Rattus norvegicus: one gene and its partner. The protein of the gene in region 2 interacts with the protein of the main gene of each other region in a pairwise test. Links are inferred from orthologs where the notes say so. Each region holds a gene or a part of one and is shown on either strand. Other genes may lie near its edges. The genes, in order: Nub1 and Sncaip.

Region 1 (12,234 bases), on a different chromosome or scaffold from region 2:
TCACAGGGTTAGCATTGCCCTGGAGCTCTGCCCACACAGCCATGTGCATGACCACATCTGCTTCTGTCGCTCAGCACAGCCGAGGGCAGCTTTACTTCCTGGGTATCTATATGTACCTAAGGAATGCAGCTCGCATCCTCTGGCTTTTCTTTCTGACAGACACCAAGCCATGTAGAAAAGGCCTCTGAAGACCTAGTATAACAGGTTCTGGGCACTCACTCCAGGACTGGCCACCTTGGGGCTGAAGGCAAGTGTGTGAAAAATCTCACCCTGAATACAAGTTAAATGGCCACAATACGTGGGGCAGGCTGACACACGGTACACTATGGTAAGCTGAATTTCATAGGACACAGTGACATCCTCTTAGGTCCCAAGAAAAATGAGACTGGCATAACAGTGGAACATGGGAAGGGGGCAAAGGAGAACGGAAGGCAAAGGGTATCCCTGCTGCAGTGCTGTTTTCAGGGACCAGAGTCTTACCATGTATCCTGGCCTGGTACTCACTATAGAGACCTGACCTTGAACTAAAGGACCCGCCGCCTCTGGCTCTGGGTGCTAGGTAGGAATGAAGTGTGCACTATCACGCCCATCCCTTTTCCCTTCTACAGAAGCACCTCTCACGAACCATCCCAACCACATCCACCTCGATGCAAATGCCTGAGGTCCCCCCAGAGATGGCAGGTCCTGCTTAAAGCCCAGAAGCAGGCACCGCCCCATCCTGCCATCTCAGGCCCTCCAGCCAGCCCTGCCGAGGTCACTCACCTGGTCGATGCTTTCTTGGGAAGGGCTTGCTTGCCGGCTGTTGTTCTCAGAGTCTGAATCCTGTAACCACCACATGTGGGGGTTGCTGAGGAGAATCTGCAATCACAGGCAGGGACAGTCTTTACTCACCTAACCACCAGCCACACTGCCATCTCACAGGCGGGCACACAGCCCAGACCGTCCTTGTGGGGCACATGAGTGCACAATGTCACAGTGCGCAGACTGCCTTGAAGCAGGAAAAGGGCTCAGCTGGCCAGGAGACCCAGGGAGCCTGCTTTACCTTCCTAGTGCAAGGACATGGCCCACACAGCTGGCATTTTTACCTGGTTCTGGGTATCAAATTCAGGTCCTCATGCTTGCCGTCTCTCCAGCCCATGCCCTTCTTGAATTAACTGTGTGAATCTCACTGCTTTCTTTGGAGGGTTAGACGTCCCTGTTTTTTCTGTCTGTCCAACACAAAACCTTAAGCTTCATATTCAGATAACATTGTAACTTAAAATATGTATGATCTGGGCGTGGTGGTGCACACCTGTAATATGTATGATCTGGGCGTGGTGATGCACACCTGTAATATGTATGATCTGGATGTGGTGATGCACACCTGTAATATGTATGATCTGGGCATGGTGATGCACATGTACCCATGCTTAGGAGGCAGAGGCAGGCAGATTATGAGTTTGGTACCAGCCTGGTTTACATACTGAGTTCCATGACAGCCTGGGCTACATAGTGAGACCCCGTCTTAAAAAATAAAATACATATACGTATTCATGTGTGCTTGCACGCACACACACACACACACACACACACACACAAGCACATGCAAGCATATATGCATGCACTCCAGCAAACACTGTGCAACTGGAGCTTCCCAAGGCAGAGCATGGATGCTGTGGGCTGTTGCCTGAAGCACATACTGTCCTTGGTCCCTGCTGGGCCAGCCCTGCCACTAGTGATATTCCCATCCCAAGAGTCCCAGGACAGCATACTGTCCTGCTGCGCCTGTGCATCCATCTGCCTACCACTGGTTCGTGGCAGTTGAGGGCAGTGTCCAAGCTGTAGCACAGAGCTTCCTGTGCCTCTTGACCGAGACTGGCCAGAAACACTGTTGCTGCACTGTCACCTTGCAGTCTTTTACAAGCCCTCTTGCCAAGAGAGTAAAGCAGATGTGCAAACCAGCCTTCCACTCAAGCACAGCTAACACTGAATGGAACACCCCCTGCGAGTTGGAAAGGCCAGTCACTAAAGCCCCAGGCCAGGTGCCCAGGGCCGTCACTGGCTCTGCTGGAGGACAGCAGACCTGACTGCACCCCACCCCAACTGTACAAAGACTGTACAGGAGGGATGCGCACAGGAAGGCTGGGCACCGGAGCCAGCCTGGAGGGGAATGCCCGGCTGCACACAATGAACTGCAAGCATTACCTTCAGGGCATCGTCCAGGTTGCCTCTGGCCTGGTGAAGGGCTTGTTTGGCAGCTTGTGTGGAGTAGCCCATTCCTCTCAAAGTGTTGACACTTTCCAGACGGCGTTTCCTCTTCTCCTTCTCTTCCTTCCGTATCTGGGCCAGTTCCTTTAGGAAAACAAGGTCCTGTGAGTTAGAGGTGGAGGCAGCACAGGAATCTGCAGGATGTCTCAGGGTCTCTGGGCTGGGACAGAAAGGGACTTCTACCTATCCTTGCCTAGAAAAGTGGCTGGAGGCACGGGGATGGGGTTAGGGTTGGGCTAAGGCCCAGGAGTGGGAACAGTCAGCACAGCATATCCTGAGACAGGTAGATCCTTACAGTGCTGGGCTAAGAACCGCAAGCAGGCAGCTACACCAGAGTTTCCTGCTGGGGTGGAGGGTCATCCCCACCTCAGGTTACCTATCCAGGGATTCAAATCAGGGGGCTAAGAACGCCACTTAGGATAGAGTGGCTGCCAGCGTGAGTGACACTCTGATTCTATCCCTAATAGCAGGAGAGAAAAGAAAACCCTGATTCCATTTAGTTCTGTGCAGAGCTGCAGGAAGTGAGATGGCAGCTCCCTTGGGAATGTCTCTTCTGTGCCACACCAGGTGTGCCTCCAACATCACCCGCCCTGGCCAGCTCCCAATGGGGCTCTGAATGGTCTCAGCTCATCCCAGCCTCAGTGAGAGGTCCAAGGCTGGCTGGTTCATCAGCACGAAGCTCAAGGACTGGTGATTCAGGGAGTGATGAGACACAAAGGGGGGAATAGAGACAGAAACCAGGTCCTCAGCAACACGGCAACCAACCCACCTAACACCAGAATCACCATCTTCTTCTCTGAAGATCACAACTTAATTCACATATGTATGACATGCACGTGCTTACACACACACATGCACACATCGAGTCTGTGGTGCGAAGGCCCAGTGTCTTATGTACCCCAGCATTCTGCAGTGTTTTCACTTTTGTGTGTGTGTGTGTGTGTGTGTGTGTGTGTGTGTGTGTGTACACAAACTGTAGGAGTCTCTCCTGTCACATGGGCCCAGGGGACAGACTCAGATCAGGCTTCACAGCAAGGGCCTTCCTGGCTGAGAAGTCCCCCCCCCCGCCCCCCCCCCACTCTCCCCGACCCTGAGGAGGCAGCCTGTGAGCCACAGCTCACCTCATCTGCAACACGATCAGTCATGGGGAGAGCTGGATTATATCACAACTGGGAGGACAACATGAACTACAAAGTATTACACCATTTTCCAAGAAATCACTTGAAAACAGCAGCTTTCCTCTGAGCCCATCCTTCTGGCAGAGCAGCAACAGGTGGAAATGCTGTGGTACTGATCTACACTGTACAGAGCCAGCTATACCTGAGCCGTCCCTGACGTCTGCTTCAAGGGCCAGGGACCATGACTGGACAGCTGAGGCTGACTGTGGTGAGACAATCACACAGCCCTGCTGCCAGGTCACTACACAATCAACACACAGATCCATTCCCACATGACTACTGGCTTTTCCTACCTCACTGCGGCCCACTGACTGCTGTTAAGAGTCATACAGTAAGAGTCTCTGGCTAGAAAGCCCCAGGAAACTATCAGTTTCTAGCTTTGAGAGAAGACTGACCACATCACCAGCTCTCTGGACCTCAGATTCTTCTCTGTACAACTGGGTATGACAAGGCCCCTTTTTTCGTCTTTAGAATTCTAAAGCTTTTGTGTGTGTGTGTGTACTTGTTATAAAGACTGTAGCTTTTCAGACCTCATTTTTATGATCTGATGTTTCCAGGCAAGAAGGCTTTTTTTTTTTTTTTTTTTTTTTTGTTCTTTTTTTCGGGGCTGGGGACTGAACCCAGGGCCTTGCGCTTCCTAGGCAAGTGCTCTACCACTGAGCTAAATCCCCAACCCCTGAAGGCATCTTAAATATCATATCATAGCCACTTTTGAAATAACTTTCGGAAACACACTACAGTGTTGAGCAAGATCCTGAGAGGAGACTAGAGGCCTAACTGCCACCATGATAGGAAACTGCCCTGGTTCTGGTTCAAGCCAGAATGATTAAGACAGCCCTGCTGTGGGGTTGGGGATTTAGCTCAGTGGTAGAGCACTTGCCTAGCAAACCCAAGGCCCTGGGTTCAGTCCCCAGCTCCAAAAAAAAGAAAAGGGGGGGGGGGGAAGACAGCCCTGCTGTGGACACTTGCCTAGCATTGGGGAAGCCCCAGGTTTTCCCAGCACTGCAGAAAACCAGGTAATCCTAGCCCTCATAGGTACCAGCAAGGAGGATCAGCAGAGGAAGGTTACCCATGGTTTTAGAGCAAGTTTGAGGCTAACTTGGACTACATGAGCCCGTCTCAAACAAAGGGAAGACAATGCATTATTACCCCTGCCCTCCTGACCCCGAGCCCCCTCTTCTGGCCTCTGTCCGGTCTTTTCCTACCCAGTTCAGATATAAAGTTACAGTGTTTTTGTTTCATAACCTCAAAGAGTAGGAGCTTCCTGGGTGCTGCAGCGAGAAAGGAAAACCCACCTCTCTGCGGTTGGAAATGTGAGTGGCTGCGTGGTCCACGTTCCCATCACAGGCCCGCAGGCCCAGCCGTGCTTCCTGGGCAGTGAACCCCAACTGTAACAAGTTGTGAACTTTCGATGGGTCGATGTACAGCTCTTTAAAGAGCTGACGTGCCTACAAACAGGAAGAAGCAGAAGACTCACTAGACAGCAGCGACATTAAAGTTTGGCAGAGCTAAAGGCTGGGAGTGAGGCTATCAAATGTGAATTACTGCTGTATGACCTGTCTACCATAAGGAATGAAACAAACACTATGTCTGCCTGCATAATGTACCCATAACATAGCGCAAATGGGCAGGTGGGATGCTGGAGAAGTGCCGGAGCACGCACATATTCATTCATATTCATTCTCTCTCTCTCTCTCTCTCTCTCTCTCTCTCTCTCTCTCTCTCTCTCTCTCTCCCCCCTTTCATACATTCTGAGTTCAGCCGGCTGTGGTAGCACAGGCCTGTCATCCCCACAATCAGGAGGCAAAGGCCATAAGGGCCGCACAGCAAGACCCTATCTCAAAACAGGCTGCAAATGGCATCTATCTCTCCCCCAGCTGGGCTGGCTGCGTGGTTACAAGGTCAATAGCAGGCAGTCAGAGTATCTCTCTCTCTCTCTCTATTTACTTTTTATATATGGGTACATGGTCGCGGTCAGATATACCAGAAGAGGGCATTGGATCCTACTATAGATGGTTGTGAGCTATGGTGTGGTTGTTGGGAATTGAACTCAGGAACTTCGGAAAAGCGGTTGTGCTCTTCATCACTGAGCCCTCTCTCCAGCCCTGGCAGTCTCTTTGTGATGTGCAGGTCTGCTCTGGCTCTCTGGCCCTCTCTGCTGGTGGCAGATGGAGTAGCAGGACAATGGGAGCCTGCAGAGCTCTAGCTGGGCCTGCTGGGGGAGGCAGGGCAGGACCACCCACTTACAGCCACTACCACTTTGAGGAGTCTTCATTACAGCCCCTTGCCTGAGCCCTCACAGACACACGTGTTCATGCTGCACGGGAGGGAGGGAGGGAGGGAGGGAGGGAGGGAGGGAGGGAGGGAGGGAGGGAGGTGTAGGCCCGTGAGCAAGTCTTACACTGCCAAGGCACAGGCAGAGGTGGGCAGACCCAGGGCCTTCCTTACCTTGTTGAGATATTCCCGAGCCTCCTCTCCATTTCCACTGTGATAGTTTCGGATTCCCTGAAGCAAGTAGAGTCTTAAAAACAACACCTTCTCTTTCCCACAGTTCCCCTGAAGTTATTGGGAGAAAAGAATAAGCAGTCTTATTTCTCATTAAAGGGTCACGTGGTCACTGCTGTACTGCCGTTTCTCCACAGAAGCAAGATGGCAGTACTAGAATGCCTAGGGCATCACTGCTGTGAAGGGATGACTTCCAGGCTGTATCTCTTCCACATGGAAGGGATCAGTCAGAACACCTGATCGGACGCTAGCCCTCACAGGTCATGACTTAGTCACTGGTTCTCTCCTGGTCAGACTGAGAGTTGTGGTCTACAATTAGTAAACTCTGTCTTTAAAACCCACCAGAGAAGCAGCAAGACTAAACTCAACAGCACAGTGGTGTATACTGTAAGCCCAGCACTCTGGAGGTGGAAGCAAGAGGATTAAGAATTCAGGGACAGGGGTTGGGGATTTAGCTCGGTGGTAGAGCGCTTGCCTAGTAAGCACAAGGCCCTGGGTTCGGTCCCCAGGTCCGGAAAAAAAAAAAAAAAATTCAGGGAAATGGGCTGGAGAGATGGCTCAGTGGTTAAGAGCACTGACTGCTCTTCCAGAGGTCCTGAGTTCAAATCCCCACAACCACATGGTGGCTCACAACCATCTGTCATGGGATCTGATGCCCTCTTCTGGTGTGCATGAAGACAGTGACAGTGTACTCATATATAATAAATAAATAAATATTTTAAAAAAAAAGAATTCAGGGACAGCCTGGGCTACATGAGACTGTCTCAAACAAAACCAAAAAACAAATAAAAAAAAAAACCCTGAAAACATAACAATAAAGAAACAAACACACCCCAGCCAGGTTCATGAACCTCTTAACAGCTGCTAAAGCTCTGGTTTACGAGGTATGATAGGCTGTGCCCGGGTGAGCCACCTCTGGCAGCAGTTCCCACATCAAGGCAGATGGGCCCCGGAGGCAGGCCGAGACGACCAATCCCAGTGACATACTTTTATGTTGACCAGTCTCTGGTGATTCTCCCCGTAACAGTTTGTAAAGCACGTCTGGGCCAAGTTCAGCTTTTTCTCTGCATCATCAAGGCACTCCAGCTGTTCCAGGCGGAAGTAGCACCACACGATGTCCAGCTGGAGGACTGCATAGTTGTCCACAGTGTCCAGCAGCTCTTTGCACTCACTACAAGAGGAGGAAGCTGTCATGGCAGAGCCCTTCAGCTCTCAGGGGTCCCTGGAAAGCCTTTTAGTTCTTGGTGTGTCTCTAGAATTAACTAATGGGGCCTTTATTTACAATATGGGTCCTCTGAGTGGACAAAGAGGAATAAGGGGTCTTGACAGCAGCATGGTGGCCTCTGGCCCAGGACAGAGTGGCTTCCAGTCCTGGCTGTGACTTACAATCCCCAAGACACGGGAGTCTTTCTTTGGGGAGACTGATGCTGAAGGCCTAATCAGGACAAGAGTGACAAAGCTCTCCACGACAGGAGCTGGATGTCCTATTGCTAAAATCTCCCTAGGTGACTAACATGGCTGTAAAGACACCCCGAAACCTGCAACTTCCTAAAACTGCCCCGGCTGATGGCAGTTCTGCTGAGACATTCATGCTCAGGGACTTTCTCACTGGGGGAACAGTCTGGAAAACACCAGGCTAAATGCCTAGCTGACTGCTGCGGGCCCATGAACAGGCTGAGCTAGACACAGGGAAAGGTCTGAAGACGCTATAAACGATTTATTTATGCTTTAAGTTAGGCTAATGCTCAGTGCAGAGCGCAGACCTCGTCCTCAAGACAGAAACACATCTGCAACCACAGTCCACACCGCTGACTCCAGAGCTCCGTCCGGCTACGTCCAATGGATGCGTTAAGTAGGAGCTTTTCCCTCTGCTTGCCTACCAAGACATGTTCATCCAAAAGCCCAATGAAACAGATCTGTTATCACCCCACAAGGCTGCACAGACCAGTGGGGGCAAGAGCATGGAAAATGGTGTTCGCGCATGCTTTCTTCCCTGTCTCTTCTAGCATTCCTTTTAGTCATGAGTGTCTGAGCACATACATGCCATGCTGCTACACACACACACACACACACACACACACACACACACACACACACAGAGAGACAGAGACAGAGAGATAGTGGGAGAAAGCCCATGGAAAGAGCATCATCAACACAGCCTGAAAGCTTGACTTGAAGAGGCAGAAAGGCTGTAGGTAGAAATCTGCTCTCACATCAAGGGAGACACCCTGATCTGTGCCCTGACAGGTTCACTTTCCTGAGACAGAAAGGCTGAATCACTCAGAGTGCAATGGGCACTCTCCATGCATTAGCTTCTGAGGCCTATGAAAGGTTCTTTCAATACCTGCAGGACAAACAGCAACAAGGACAGAAATGACCCAGAACTGAATCATGTGTGCCCAAAACACAAAACCAAAATGTATCAAAGCCCAGGTAGCCTATTATAGGGGTACATTTTATTTATTACTTAAAAAAAAAAAAAGAAAAGAAAACCAAGCTGGGCACACTGACGCACGTCTTTTATTCCAGCACTCAGGCGGCAGGAGCAGGTGGATCTCTGGAGTTTGAGGTGAGCCTGGTCTGCCTAGAGTTCCAGAATAACTAAGACTACCAGTCAGGACTCTGCCTCAAAAAAAGGAAGGAAGGAAAAGAGGAAAGGACGGAAGGAGGGAAGGAGGGAGGGAGGGAGGGAAGAAAGGAAAAGAAACCAACACCTGCACTATAGTTTTGAACCTGATCGGCTTATATTTGAACCTGATCATGACAATTGGGAAGGAAAAGTTTTAAAAAAAAAAAACCCAGCATAAAACTGTTTTAAAGAACAGCCAGGGCTACATGGAGAAACCCTGTCTCAAAAAAAACAAGCCAAAAAAAATGTATTTCTATTAATAATGACTTGGTTTGCAGTTTCAAAAGTTTTGCTATTCAACAAATTTTCATGTTGAAACAATTTTAAAATGAAAACACTAAAGTTGACTTCAGACTGCTTACTTATTTTTACTGGTGTGTGTTTTGTGTATGTGTCCATGCAGTACCTGTGGAGACCAGAAGAGGGCGTTCTGTAGCTGGCTGCAGTCCGGACCCTGGTACTGTCACTAAGATGCAGCACCTCCTGACTCAGCATGAGGACCAGCCAGCCTAGAGTGGGCAGGAGAGGGAAAGGCGGGCTTCTGTTCCCAGAGGAGAGAGGACTCAGGTGGTCATGGGGAGCTGCCATGAACGACGGAGGTGCTGGAACAAGACTAAGACTAAGTGGGGGTGGGAAGCAGGCCAGGTTAGAATAGATCAGAATGTGCCCAGCTATAGTGCCTGAGGCTTATATAGAAGTATAAAGGCCTTCATGGGGTGTGGAAAAGCCCCAAGCTTTTACAGGTGCTGGATTCCCAGGAACTGGATTCCCAGGCAGTTGCGGACGCTGGATATGGGTGCTAGGAACTGAACCTGGGTCCTGTGAGAGCAGCCAGTGTTTGTCTTTATTTATTTATACATTCCAGATTCTATTCCCCGCATGGGCCACCCTCCGACTGCTCCATCGACTGCTCCATATCCCATACTTCCTTCCTGCCTCCCCCCATCTCTACAAGGATGTCCCCACCCCACCCACCCCACCAGACCCATAAACTTCCTGGAGCCTCCAGTCTCTTGAGGGGTAGGTGAATCTTCTCTGACTGAACCCAGACCCAGCAGTCCTCTGCTGTATATGTTAGAGACCTCAGCTCAGCTGGTGTGTGCTGCCTGGTTGGGGATCCAGAATCAGAGTTCTCAGGATCCAGGCTAACTGACTGCTCGTCCTCCTACAGGGCTGCAGCCCGTGTTCTTAACTACCGAGTTCTCTCCAGCGCCAGAGAACTTCTTACGCTCTCTAATGAGTTTATGACTCTAAGCTAAACAGGTAAGGAAGCAGACTGTCATGTGTGGGATAGCTCTCAAGGCCTCCTCCCATCTCAGCCATCTTTGTCACACTGGAAGGCTTCCACTGCTTCTCCTTCATTCTCTTATTGTCTCTGCCTCGCTCACTCTGCACCCTATGCACTGCCCCACTCTTCACCTGAGATCCACTGTGAGCCTCTGCACAGCCCCCACACCGCCCTGTCACCTGTTCACGCCTTTTTTTTTCCTTTTTTTTTTTTTTAATTAACTTGAGTATTTCTTATATACATTCCGAGTGTTATTCCCTTTCCCTTTCAGAAGCTTTGAGGCAGGGCTGGGGACCACAGCGGTCTCTGGGCTCCTGCTGAGACAACTCCTTCCAAAGCCCCACCTGCTGCCCTGTGACCAGGGTTGTCACAAACTGCTCCTGATCCTCTGTGGGCACCAAGGGTCCACCTGCTGCTACTACTTCCAAGCAGTCCCTATCCAGCCGTGGGTGCTTTCTCCCCATATGACGCTGCTCACAGACTGGACACTCAAGGGGAACTTCAGGCCCTGTCCCTGGACACCTAGCTCCACCTCTGCTTGGGGCCGATGCCCTGCCTGTCCTTGCCCATCCTGAACTGCTGGGAGCTGCTGCTTGCTTTATTTTGCCAGGCTTTTTCACATGACACAGCAAACCTAGTCCTGTTGCTCCATCAGGCAAAGAGAGCTGTGGGTATGGTGCACAGTAAAGCACAAGACCTGGTTGATTTCCAGACAAACAGACACACATGCATAGACACGCATGCATGCACGCGCACGCATGCACGCACGCGCGCGCACACACACACACACACACACACACACACACACACACACACACACACACACAGGAAAAAGAAACTATTCTTGGCACAGTAGCCACTGCACGTAAGATGAGTAAAAAGTCATGAACTTCAGTTTACTTAGGAAATAAGGGAAGAAAATGGAACGCTGAGGTTTCTTCCGTCAGCACCGGGGCTCCTGCTACAGTTAACTTCCTTCATGAAGAGAAATCATATGTGTGCAGATTGGCCAGAACCAACAGATTCCCACAAGAGAGATTCTCTACCACTGTATCTGGAATGTTCCCCAAGGGCAACACATGACAGCTTGGGCCGAGCACAGTCACGAAGTGAGTGAAATCTTCAGGAAGTGGCACACGTAGGAGGTTTTATGTCCTTGAAGGGAACAAAGACTGGTGGCTAGTCTTTCTTTCTCTTAGTACTGCAGCCGCCGAGGTGTTCAGCCCAGTTCCTCAGTCATGCACATGCACCACAAAGCAGCAGAAACAGAGGGACAGGGAAGCAAGAGGAACAACTGGTTATGAGCTAAAGCCTCTAAACTCTCAGCCAATTAACCCTGTTCTACGCCAGTCACCTTGTGCGTTCATGACCATAAAGGAAAGATGACTGCGCATCCTTTAAAGGCACTGACACCTGCTACTTAACTTCATGTAACATGATAATGACACGGGTATTTTCACTGAGGTCTTTTGAGACCTGAAAATCATTTCAGTGATTAGTCCAGGGAAAAAAGGTTGAAAAAAGCCTACACAGAGGAATCAAAACTATTACTTGACACCCACTACAGCCAGACTATGAACCCTCACTACAGCAGTTCACCACAACAGTTCACAGTTCACCACAGCAGTTCACCACAGCAGCTGCTGCTTCCACGGATTTGAAATCTTCTCTATTAAGGACTATGCAAAGACATGGAACCTTGTCCTCACCTCTAAGAACTCAACTCACACTCCAATGTTTGCCTCAGAAGAGAACAAAGTAGCAGGGACAGAGTCCAGGGCAGGACCCTGAGGCGGCCCAGACTGCTTTCTTGCTCCTCCCGGCCTTGCCCTTCCATCTCCTCCAAGCATTTGGGATGATAAATCTCTTCTCTGGATAGGTTAGCTTGAGATTTGCACATCTAAGACCCAACAGCTCTGACCTTTGCAGGTGGAAAACATTTCTTTCGGGTTTTCTTTGACACAGAAGATTGTCATGGGAATTCACCAAACAACATCCACAATGAGGCTGTTAACTCTTGACCATTTCCCAGAATCCATTCTGTCTCAGTATCCAACCTGCACAGATTACATTCTCTACCATTTCCACAGACAGGAACTAGGAACCCTGGGAAATTTCAGAAACTACCAGCACCAGGGAAAAAGAAAATGGGGGCCAGCCCCAGGTAGAGAAACTACGCACAGAAATATGAAGCACATCGGATGTGTAAAAGCTCATGTTAAAATATGTGTGTGTGTGTGTGTGTGTGTGTGTGTGTGTGTGTGTGTGTGTGTGCGCGCGCGCGCGTGCTGGGATAGCAGAATTCACTCAGCTTCAGCAGTTAACACTGATGAAGAGGAAAAGCAAACCTTAGTCTGATCGACTTTAAGGAAGCAACTAAATCTGCA
Region 2 (12,234 bases):
TTACTTGTACCGTATCTATATTGTTTATCTACTAAAAGATGAAATTCGGTTTCAAAACTAAATGAGTGCTTTAGAACTCAAATTGACACTTACTGAAGAAGGGAGATGTGAGACTCAAATATACCCATAGAACATAACCTCCTTCCCCAGCTCCCCAGGATAATACAGACAAGGTTTTCTTTTGCTTTCTTTCCCTGTTTCTCCCTTCTTTTCCTCTATTAGGCTCCTTTTCTTTCTATATATTTATCAAGTCTCTTCCATATGCCAGGCACCACTAGACACTGGGAGTACACCGGTGCTCTCAAGAAGCTTCGGCAATAGTTTCTGTGCTTATCCTCCTTTGAATCTCTTCACTACAAGCTCCCCAAGTTCAGTAACCATATCTTACTTTGGGAAAAAATGTGTTGTTTGTTTGTGTGTGGCAGGGGAGTGCACATGTGGGTACATGTTCATGTAAGTACAATTGTGTGTGTGTGTGTGTGTGTGTGTGTGTAGGTATACATGCACACGTGTACACATGTATGTGGTGGACAAAGGACATGATGTCCCTCGGGCATTAGCTAACTTCTTTGCTGAGCTTGGGTCTCTTGTTGGCTTGGAGTTCATTGATGTTTGGTTGTCTAGTTGGCCATGGGACACCGTGGGTCAGCCTGTTTCTGCTGACTCAGCACTGGGAGTACAAGCCCACACCACTAGAACTAATATTTTTAAATGTGTTCTGGGTTAAAGCCTTCATGTCTGCACAGTAAGTACTTTACTGGTCCAGGGATTTTTCCAGTTCCACTAAAAATATATGCTTCTTGATGAAGACATGGAAAAGGAAGGTGTGGTTACCCAGGGGTGTGGCTCAGACAAGGTTATATTTGTGCTGATTTCAATCAACCTATACATCTCTAAAATCCAAAGATGCCCTTAGTAATGGCAGACTTATGATATGGCTTTGACACTGTAAGACATATCTTCTTTGGGCTTGCTTCACAACTGTACCTTCAGGAATGAGGAAAACAGAGTGGAGATGGAGAAATGAGCTGTTTGTCTTAGGATTTCTGATCATCATTGACTGACTAAATTGGGCTGAACATACTAAAGAATGTGTCCTGGTTGGGTAGTTTTCATTTCTGAGGAAGAGTTTTCTCTCCATTCTATGAGCATCAGCAAACTACTGGGAGAGTGACATCTGTCCCAGCCCTGTGCCAAAAATATTTTCTTTGAAGTAGCATTGGATACCTTGAATCTATGCAAAATATTTGACATTAGCTCTTGGCTTTGTATGTATAAGTCTTAAGGTGGCTAATTCATAGGTAATAAAAAGCAGTCTAATTTTCGATCGCTTCATGTCTTTTTAAGGAGTCCTCTTATGTTGGTGCTAGGATTGGGTCTTCAAGAAAGAGTGTCACCGGCTTAGAGAGGGTGTTGTTGGAGGTAGCCATATTCTGGACCAAGCTACCCTAGGCAGTCCAAAACTTGCAAATGGATGCTTCATTGGTATTTTAGACCAGTAATAATACACATTCCTTTGGTACTGTAAAAACTCAGTCAACTTATCCTCTTGAAAGACAAAAAGGAAAGATTAATCTGTTTCCTCTAAGTCATCTTCTGGAGTTGAGATGCTGAGAAGGTTGTTCAAAGCAATAAGGTTAAGGGCCACTGAAAAGAAATTCAAGACTCTGCTATCACCCTGTGACCAATTTAGAAAACTTAACTAGCCATCAGAACCCTGGTACAGAACTGAATTTCATTCTTTAAGATGCTGCACTTACTGGTTCTACTTTTCTTTTAGCAATAAAAACATTAAAAAAAATTCTTAGAAACTAGGTTGTGATTTCAGAATCCTGGAGCTAATATCACACCACATCTGCTGACAGGGGCGTCAGTAACAGGGAGCTGTTGACATCTTCACTCAAAGTCTAGGTGTCCCTACACTATTTTAAGAAGCCACTTGCTGTTCTAGCAAGTTCTTCGGTCAAGATCTGAAGTCAACATTCATAGGTGAACTTCTGCACTCCGCTCCCATAGGTAAATGCTGCAGGCACCAGAGTTACTTCTGTCCTGTTCGTTTACACATCTCATCCTAGCCTTAATTCCTCTGAGGAACCTTGATTTCAGGCAGAAAGGCATCCTTGATTTGTCTGTGGAGTAGATGAGGCTGGTGCTATCTGTGTGCAAGTGATGAATAAAATGATAATAAAAGTTTATTCTCTCCAATGTGAAAAGGAAACAACAAACTGGACTTCCTGGATTTTAATGGAAACCCATATTAAACTAAAACCGAAATAAAGTATATATTAAGATATGGGGTAGTGAGATGAGGTCTGGATGTTAACTCAATACTGAGACTATACATAGTTTGGATTTTCCAACTATTTAGCATTGAATTCAAACCTTTTCACTATACAAGGCCAGCGAATCTGCTAGCTTAATAACCGAGTCTTTAGAAGGACTGTCCCCTAAGTGCAGTGGGAAAGTGTTATGGTTGTCTCAGACAAGCGAGTGGCCCTCTAACCTCATTTTGTGCTCTGAGTCTTCGTAATACTATTCAACTGAAATGCCCAGCTTTCTTCCTTTCCTTGTAAAAAGGCAGGGTGAAACATTTCTGGCAGGAAAGATCTGCTGTGACATTAATTATCTCGTTCCCAGTTGCCCTAGGAGTCTGGAAGGCATTTTTCCTTTCTGCTTCCAGGGAGTTTGCCAAATCTTTGTGCTCCTTTGTCTCAGGCACAAAAGCGTAAGTTTTCAGGGACCAAGGAGACACATCCGACCTAAGACAGGCAGAGGAAAGGGGTGAGAATAGCTGAGACGAACAAAAGCAGGATAGTACCAATGTTTGGAAGGACAATGAGGTTTCTCCATGTCACGCTCCCATCTCTAACCCTGGCACTGAACAGCACTGAACAGGAACCTCTGTCGTGGGAAGGAGTCCTGACTGCATTTAGACCATCTGCCATCAGCTGCTCACTGGTGACTATAAGGAATCCGAGGTATTCTTCCTTCAATGCACCGAACTGACGAGACCCCTGACGATAGCCTGCTAACATGACTAAGATTTGTTTTCCACCCAGACCGGATAAGACACAGGCAGACTGACTCTGATCTAGGGAAGGTCAAAAAGAGAAACATTTTCTGGAAGTTATGTATTCTGAACTAAAATCTGTATGTATAGTACACACATTCTTTGGAGGATTCTGGAGGAATGCTGAATACTGCGTCGTGACTTTTAAATTTCTAAGATGTTTTAAAAACCAACGCTTTGCTTTTAAAATGGGTTTTGAGGTTTAATGCTTCTCAAATAAACTAGTCAAGAGGAACTGACTACATCATTTCCGGTCACTCCGCCCACTTCCTGCCAGGTCGGGAAACACACTAAACCTCAGGAGGGTTTTGCCCAAGTAGAAATCCTAGTCACTCACTGGTGACAGGGTCTTCTTTCTTATATGAGCACAGACTATGTATTTGGACTTGTGAACATTTTGTGAAAGACTCTTATTTTATCTGTGGACCTTCATCAGAACGACTTCTGGACCGGAAGTGGTTCACAGTACTAAGCAGGAAAGCTTCCGGCGGCAGAGGCATGCTTCTGAGAGGCATGCTCCTCTTGTGATGGGCAGATATGTTTATCAGTAGTGCAGAAACAAAGCCCCAGCTCACACTTGAAATTCTGATTTCTGAAGGGCAGCTGACCTCTTCTACCCACGACTGAACTTAATTTCTATACTTACTTGGCACTAAGCTCCCTTAGAATGCAAACTGAAGGCCAAAGTCGACTAAGGAACATAGTGAGTTTGTGAACAGAGTAGACTTTCCCAACTGATGAAGCCTCTCCATTGGGTACCGGCTACCTTCCTAGGATGGGACCCATGTCTCTTTGGGAGAGGATTCTTCTCCCTTGGTGCTATATCCTATATCCCCTGATTACAAACATTTCGGTCGCGTCATTTCAAAGCTCATGCAACTCTAAGCAAAGGCATGGCAGTGCCGCACAGTGCACTCTACGCCACATACCGTGCATAATCACGCAGATGCTCTTCGACCAGCGCATTAGAGGGAAGATGAATGCAGCTGCTGTACATCGCCTAGAGAAGTGCAATTAAGAATTATCTGACAACATGCAACAAGCTTATCACATGCACAGGTCCTGGTTAATCCAAGCCATGCAGGAGATATTAGAGAAAAGGTGTATGGGGAACTGTGGAGATGATTTTAGTGTTACTGCTCATCAAGAGACTCTCTGAAGTTACTTGGGAATAAGTAGGTTTTAATTTTTAAAGCAAAAAGTCTGGTGTCTTAGCTGGAGTATGCTTTTCTCTAGATAAAACAAATTCGTGGTAAAGTCGTTTATAATAAGGGAGATGGTAGATAATTTAAAAATTGGTGATGGGGCTGTTGAAGAGATATTACGTAAAACTTGATTCGGTACCACAGCAAGAAATCTAGACAGCTCTTAAGACTGTTGTACTAGGAATCCCAACAAGGAGTAGAAGATGAGCTTCCGACGCTCTACTGGGTGGTTTAGTAAATGGGAGAGTGAATGATCCAAGGCATTCCTTCCACAGAGAGATTTGCACTTTGGCTGCTACACTGTTTTTGATGGCATGTCAAGCGCAGAGCATGCAGAAATCGCTGCCTAAAACGATGTTCCTATCTCTTATTCTTAGAGGCGGGTTTCCAAGAAGTGCCGCTATAAATGACTTCACAATGCATTCTGCCTTCTCCTGTCCACTGGCAAGCCCTTCAGTCTCTCCAGTATCTAGTCAACACTTAGAGATGTGTGTGCTAACAGGCTATGTGGCAGTCCCTGGGGGATATTCATTTCAAAGGTTATTTGAGTTAGGTCGTTTAGAAGAAATGGGGTTTCTGTTTATATGCTTTTAAAGTGGGCTTTTGTACCCAGTCCACAAGGAGAACAGACTCTTCCCGAGACAGAATCAGTGCCAATGGCGGACTGATTTAATGCTGACGGGTGGTTTCATCTTGTATAAATGCCTCTTGGCTTACAACTTGTAATGCCCAAAGCACAAGAAACTGGGGTCAGACCTAATCTGCGATTTCTTTACTCACTTCTCTCTGTATTCTCCAAAGGAAGTGCAGGGGCATTCATCTTAAACTGGCATGTGTCATTAAAATATATATGAATTTTTGAATCTTGGGGTGACCTTCCTCCAAGATGGCACAGTCAGTAACAATAACACAATCAATTAAAAGTAATACAAGCATAAATACATCTCCAAACAGCACTCACTGCCTTATTCTTTCCTTTGCTAGCAGGGCTCACAGGGTTTCCCTTGGCATCTGCTGTCTTCCTTCCAAGTGACGTCAAGGGTAGTGTGCAGGTCTTCAGCTGGCTGGCTGGCTGGTAGTTATTATTGTTGTTCTGATTACCACTTAAACTCTCCATGATGGATCGGAAGGTTCCAAAAGGCCTTTTCATTTGTTCTCCTGACTCACTAGTCCTCTGGGGGGCCCTGCCCCTCTCTTTGTCTTTTTCTCCATTTAGTTCAAGGCTAGTTTGCTCCATTTGCACAACAGGCTCCTCAAAGGTCACTCTCAGTTTTGAGTTTTGGGATGTCCGGCGCTTGGATGATGGAGACTTGAGGGCACTCTTGGGGCTTGTAGCAACTTTCTGGGCAGTGGCACTGTCAGGACTGCACTGAGTGGCTTCTGTAGAAGGTTGGGTTGGAGGAGTCATTCCCAGGCTCGGGCAATGGGAGTCCAAATCTGGTTCACTGCTCTCTGAAGTGGGAGATGGGCTGTGCCCATCCAGGGATTTGGAGGCCTTCATACCAAAAGGAAACCTGCGTCCTGATGCCACAGAGTGTTTCTTTATCATCAGGTGTAAGCTTTCTGCACTGTCCATATTCTCCACACTTTCCACAATGGGCTGTGGTCTAGGTCTGTCCACTCTTTTCACAGGAGTATTTTTGGGGTCCTCAGAGTTGTTTGAATCCGTGTCAGATTCACTCAAAGATCTCTGCATCAGCTGCCGCAGTCTAGCTAGCTTCAGTTCCCTCTTCTCTAGAGGTATTTTTTTCGAATTCCTAGAGGATACCTGAGCATCCTGGAATTCCAATGACAGCTTTTCCTGGGTGCAGACATTCTCTGATATTTCTTTCCCCAATAACTGACGTAGGATTTTATCAGAGTCTTCGTCTTTTCCTTTGGTCCTAGCCCTGCTGGATAAGTTTCCAAGGACTTGTATTCCCTCCTGGGTTCCCAGTTTGCTTTTGCCTGTAGACTCGTCATCTGCATCTAGAATTTTCCACTGGGACTTTCTAGAAGCTGGTGAGGAGGGTGAACTGGAAGGAAGATAAAGAAAATATAAGATGGTTTCTTACTGCACTAGATGCATCCATAAGACCTTGCACGACCTTTCATACAATTATTGATTTATGGAAAACAAGATTAGATTACATAATGTTTTCTTCTGAACAATTAACAAAGACTCCAATCTATCAGCTGTAGCCAGAGCATGACAGAATTGGTCTGTTTTATTTTCTACGAACCACGTTTGTATGAATTTCATTACTTCAATCTAATCACCCTATACATCCTTGTTCTCATTTCACAGGTCAATACAAGTGGCACAAAGAAACAGAAACTCTGGGCTGGAAACTGCCTCAGGTCCTATGATCCCAGACACAGACATTTCATTGTGATATCTTTTATGTTTGTAGGAATAAAGTATTTTCTTGAAAAGTGTTAAATGGAATAAACAGAATGCTAGAAGAACATTTAAAGATTTCATCACATACCCAACAATTCAAATAGCAATATGACTGGGGTTACCTGGGTGAAGATGGGAGGGACTTGCCCTCTGATTTCTGGGCTTCCAGAAGTTGTTGGAGTTGACTCTGCAGTGTGACGCGCTCCACTGTCTGCCTGTAGGAGACAACCAAGGAACACAGTGTGTGAGGCATGGCCGCTGGCAGACTAGAGGGAGAAGACTCTTCATGAAAACTCAGCAAATGGCATCCACTCAGAAGCCTTAAAAACGTTTAGTCTTCATCCTCATGGTTCAGTTTCCCAAGGAAGCAATCGAGTGTTGAAAAGGATGGTTATTGTTCACATTCGTGACAAACCATGAAGAAATTAATAGCTCATCAATACGAGTGAAGGAATTTCAATCATTTCTGCAATGGCAACTATTAAAGCACTGTTATTTGAATACTTATGGGCATATAAAAACTTGGCTAATAATTGTGTGTATATTATACTTTACTAGTCTTAAATGAAAAAGGAATACTATAAATACTATGTGTAATACATTCTAATGTGCGTGCGTGTGTGTGTGTGTGCGTGTGTGCATGTGTGTGTGTGTTCGTGTGTGTGTGTGTGTGTGTGTGTGTGTGTTCGTGTGCGTGTTTGTGTATATGTGTATGAATGTGCATATGGAGACCAGGACTTGCTGTTGCCATGTTTTACTCAATCACTCTTCATCTGAGTTTTTGAGACAGGTTTCTCACTGAACTGGGGCTCATGGTTCAGCTAGAGTGGCTGGCTAGCAGGCCTTAGGGCACCTCCTTGTCTCTGTCAATAATACCAGGATGATGGGTGCAAGCAGCTATGTCAGCTACTATTCTAAGAAAAGTTTCTCTCCCTTCCATCACCAGAACAAAGATTCAGAAGGATTTCAACATGTTGCTAATGATTTCTGAACTATTGTAGTTCTTTGTTTCTGAGGCACTGTCTCTCTGTGTAGCCCTAGATAGCTCACTATGTAGACCAGGCTGACCTACTGAGTTCTGCCTGTCTGCCTCCTTCTCGCTGGGATTAAAGGCAGGCACTTTGCTTAGAAATTTGAAAAGTGTTTGCAACAGTTTACTAATCATAAAATATAATTAAACACGACACAAAATAACTACTTTTACTTTGGGTAACAGAGTTTTGTACTCTCTTATGAAAAGGAAAATTTATGTGCAGTAAGAGTCCATTTCCTCTGGACATAAGAGTATGTGTAACAGAATGTGCTTGGAAGTTAAGAAAATAGGGTGAAAGTCACAGCTATAGGAAGAAAAATATATATTTAGAAAATATATATTAATTATTATAGAAAGTGGGACTAGTTAATTTGACTGACTCTGTTTTATTTATATATCTAGTTTTTGAGACAGGGTCTCATTCTGTAGCCTTGTATGGCCTAGGGCTTACCATTTAGACTGGCCTGGCCTTGAACTCATTACAGAGCACTCTCTGCGTCAGCCTTCCAAATTCTGGGATTAAAGCAAATTAACTCTTATTCTACAGAAATGAGACACATTTATTGAATGCAGGATACAGTTTTCCAAGAATGTTTATCTATGCCCAAATTCCCAGAAGACATAAATATGTTGTGTTATTAGCAAAAGAAATTGATATGGAGTATGGCTGATATAATATGAAGGTCTCACATGGAGGCTACTTTACCCTACTATATAAGCCTTTCACAGTGGGAAGGACTTGACCCTGCTGCTGATGTCAGATATAGAGAGGGGGATTATGGGCTGTAGGATGCAGCTGGGCTGACCCCATCTAGCAGATGAAGGATGGCAGGAACCCAGTCATCCAAATGCAGGAAACTGATTCTGCAGCAATCTGAAGGAGCAGGACCTACGTTTGCCCAACAGCCTGTTTTCTAGGATGGGTGCCTTGTAAACCCCTAGACCTTAGCATTACAACATCCCTACTGACCCCTAACCTACAAAAATATAAAGTAAATTTGTCTTTGGTTAAGCCAGTAATTTTGTGATAGTTTGTTATAAGCAACAGGAAACTAATATGGTTAGCATAAAAATAGTAACAGCTCTCAGGAGCTGGGGCATGAACTGAATGGAGGGGTTATAAGAACTACTATTGCTTCCACAGCTTAGTTATGAATTAAAAGAAGCCTGCCATTCTTGCATGGTATTGGCGCATACACTCAACAACTATGCCTGTATATTTCTACGTAGTCAGGTCCTGATAGTGTTTTTTACAAGTCCCAGTATCTTTGTTTTTCTTAGAAGTGGTCAGCATTCTTTATAACAATTCAACCCCCAAACCAAGTCAAGTCTGTAACCTCACTTCATCTCACCTATACTGCCAAACTCACTGATTCAAACTTAGTCATGGGGCTTGGCAGATGGCTCTGATGCTAAGTGCATTTGCTCCTTTTGTAGAGGACCTGGGTTTGATTTCTAGCCCACCCTGGGATACTTAGAACAACTTGTAATGCCAGCTTCGGGGGACCCAATGCCTCTTCTGGTCTCCATGGTGACCTGTATACACATGGTACAGATATATACTCAGCTCCATATATATATATATATATATATATATACCAAAAGTCAAGGTCAATGTTAAGCAACAGCACAAAAAACAAAACCCACAAAGTTTTCTAAAGCAGGACCCAGCACATTCTTAATGGACCAGATAGCCCATATTTTAGGCTTAGGAGTCATTTAGCTTTCAGAACAACTATTCAGCTCTGTCCTTGTAGCAAGACTTTAACCTTGCACAACACACAGATGAGTGTAAGTGTCTGTGTCCCAACCAAACTTCTTACAAAGATAGTTGGTTAGCAGGCTTGGCCCACTTTAGTTTTTGCTCACACTGGCTTAATATAAGACTAACCCCCCTCTCCCCAATGCATTTTACTTTGCTAGTTGGGATGCATTTCAAGTGTGTGTGTGTGTGTGTGTGTGTGTGTGTGTGTGTGTGTGTGTTATTTTAAGAGAGCTGGGAGAGATGGCTCTGTAGTTAAGAGCATTAACTGCTCTTCCAGAGGACCTGGGTTTGAATCATAAGTAGCTCATAAACACGTATGATTCCAGTTCCAGGGGATCCAGTGGTCTTTCCTTCAGGCATCAGGTGCACACATGGTGCACAGACATGTGCAGACAAAACACCCATACATAGGAAATAAAATAAAATGAAAAATTATAAAAAACAAACAAAACACAGACATTATTTAGAGGGAGAAACTACCCTGGGGACGTGAGCAAGCTAGTGGGGTGGTTAGCGGTGTGCACTCTAAAGCCATGCCCAGGTTCTGGGAAAGAAATACAGTGATGAGGCTAAGGCAGGTAGAAGAAGATTATATAATTCACTTTTAAAAGGTTTACTTGGTGCCTTTCAGTCATTATGACACCATTAAAAAATATCCCATTTGACATCAGTTGTGTTGACTGGAATCACCAGAACAATGGAGAACACCCCTATTCTCTAGATTTGAAAGAAGCTTCCAGAAAGAATCTATCAGCCTTAAACACAGAGAGAAAACTTTATTTTCATACCATGTCAATGTGCCAGGATTTCCCTAAGAATCTCACAAACTCGGTAGTTTAAACAACAGGAAATTAAAAAAAAAGTTTTTATTTTTATTTTATGTGTACATGTGAGTACTGCATATATGCTTTTGTGCCTTGCACCCTCAGAGGTCAAAAGGAGGTGTCAGATCCCTTGGCACTAGAGTTCTAGGTGGTTGTGAACTGCATGATGTAGGTGTTGGGAATAATCTTTTGCAAAAGCAACATGTGCTATTAACTACTAAACTATCTCTCCATCCCCAGACAAAAGCAAATTATCACCTCACAGTTTGGGAGGCATAAGTAGTCTGAGATTAAAGTTAACTGTGTTGGTTCATTCTGAGGACATGGTGGTGTCTATCCTGTCCCTTAGGGTCTACTTTTTACTGGCAAATGCTGGCTTCATTGTTGGTTGATATCCCCCCACGAGCACTGCCTTTGAGTTTACATGATGTGCCCTTTGTATATATGGCCCTCTCCATTTCTTATAGGAATACTTGAGACTGGTCACTCTCATGACCCTACTTGGACTCAAGATCTTCTGTGAATATCTTTTTCCAAATAAGGCTACACTGAAATATTAGGGCTTAGTGTCTTCCTGGCTGAGGAAGAATTCAGTTCTAAATACCTGGCCTTACTAAGAGGAACTTCAGAAGAGCTGAGGTTTGCCATTTCTAGATAATGGCTATAACCAGTTGGTAGCAGCATTTGAAAGGAAGAAAGAAGAGGAGGGGGAAGAAGGGGAGGAGGTGGGGAAGGAGGAAGAGGGGAGAGAAGAAGGAGGAAGAGGAGGGGAGAGAAGAAGGAGGAGGAGGAGGAGGAGCAAAAAGGAGCAGAAGCAGCAGTAGCAGCAGAAGTAGCAGTAGTAGCATTCAAGGCTATCTGGTCCCAGAGCTCACTGTGGGCAAAGGTCAGGTGTTTTCCTACCTTGTAAGTTATTTCCCAACTGCCCTTGTCTGTTACTAATGTCCCACAACCTAAAAGACACATAGCCCCAAAGGTGTATTTGGGATTTCTCCATATACACTTCTGGGTTTTCTCACTTCACTGAAGTATATAATACATGAACAATCAGTGCCCACAGGAGCCCTTTACATATATGTCCCTGGGCTAATAATGTTTGCTCATAGCACTTGGATTCCAAGGCAACTGAATGACTGTTGTCTGTCAGGGTTTAGGGATTGCTTATCCCAGGATAACTAACAGAGAGAGTAGAGTGGTCAGGAATTTGACTTTGTAAAGTTCTTTAATAGAACAGCAGCGTAGCTATTCAACTTCTGAAAAAGAACTGGAGTTGGGTATAAACGCTGAGATTTAAAGAAGTCTATTTTTCTGGGTGTGAAACTTTAGGACAAATACTTTAATGGTTGATTTTAAAGTTCCTCTTCTTGGATATGTCCATTCGTTGTTGGAGGGAGTAGATGATGCTGTGACATTTTTGGAAAGGCATTGGGTAACATCTGCTTACATCCCCAACATTTTAGGATTGAACCCAGGGCCTTGGCATGTCAGGTAACTGCTCTACCACTGAGTTATTGTCCCAGCCGTTCTATTTATACTTTTAAAATGCATGTCTTCCACTCTATTCCCTATCCAGAATTTATTTTCAGGAATCTATGTAAGAACATAAAGACATATGTAAGAGTCTGTTCACCATGGAAAATAACTTAGTTATTAGCCTGCGAGCTGCCCAAGCCACGATACACTTCCCTGAAGTGACACGAATGTGGACATATGCTTCCTCTCTACAAAGAGTAATTCCCTTCTGGCAAACCTGCTCGGCACCTAGTGGTTTAATACTAATTTTTCCTCTTTAGAGCTGTTATGTTCAATGTGAACACAGGCTGTGAGCATCTAGGATCGAAGAAAAGATCAGAGGACCCAGACTCTGTTTATACCCAGAATGAAGGAAGCTCCAAAGCCCTTGCCTGAGATCTAAGCACAACAAATCCAAGTCAGACTCCAGGAATCAAGCGGC

Evidence for each region.
Region 1: the proteins of Sncaip (region 2) and Nub1 interact in a two-hybrid assay, tested with the Homo sapiens proteins (2 studies listed by BioGRID). The link is inferred for Rattus norvegicus from reciprocal best matches to the Homo sapiens genes SNCAIP and NUB1.

What each region holds. Positions count from the first base shown.
Region 1 is NC_086022.1:11,337,013-11,349,246, forward strand, and holds part of Nub1 (NEDD8 ultimate buster 1), read right to left. Parts: intron 7,102-12,234; coding exon 6,918-7,101; intron 5,982-6,917; coding exon 5,874-5,981; intron 4,874-5,873; coding exon 4,721-4,873; intron 2,332-4,720; coding exon 2,185-2,331; intron 859-2,184; coding exon 763-858; intron 1-762. UniProt on the Homo sapiens protein: Specific down-regulator of the NEDD8 conjugation system. Recruits NEDD8, UBD, and their conjugates to the proteasome for degradation. Isoform 1 promotes the degradation of NEDD8 more efficiently than isoform 2.
Region 2 is NC_086036.1:48,526,714-48,538,947, reverse strand, and holds part of Sncaip (synphilin-1), read right to left. Parts: intron 6,874-12,234; coding exon 6,781-6,873; intron 6,291-6,780; coding exon 5,237-6,290; intron 4,071-5,236; coding exon 4,000-4,070; intron 1-3,999. UniProt on the Homo sapiens protein: Isoform 2 inhibits the ubiquitin ligase activity of SIAH1 and inhibits proteasomal degradation of target proteins. Isoform 2 inhibits autoubiquitination and proteasomal degradation of SIAH1, and thereby increases cellular levels of SIAH.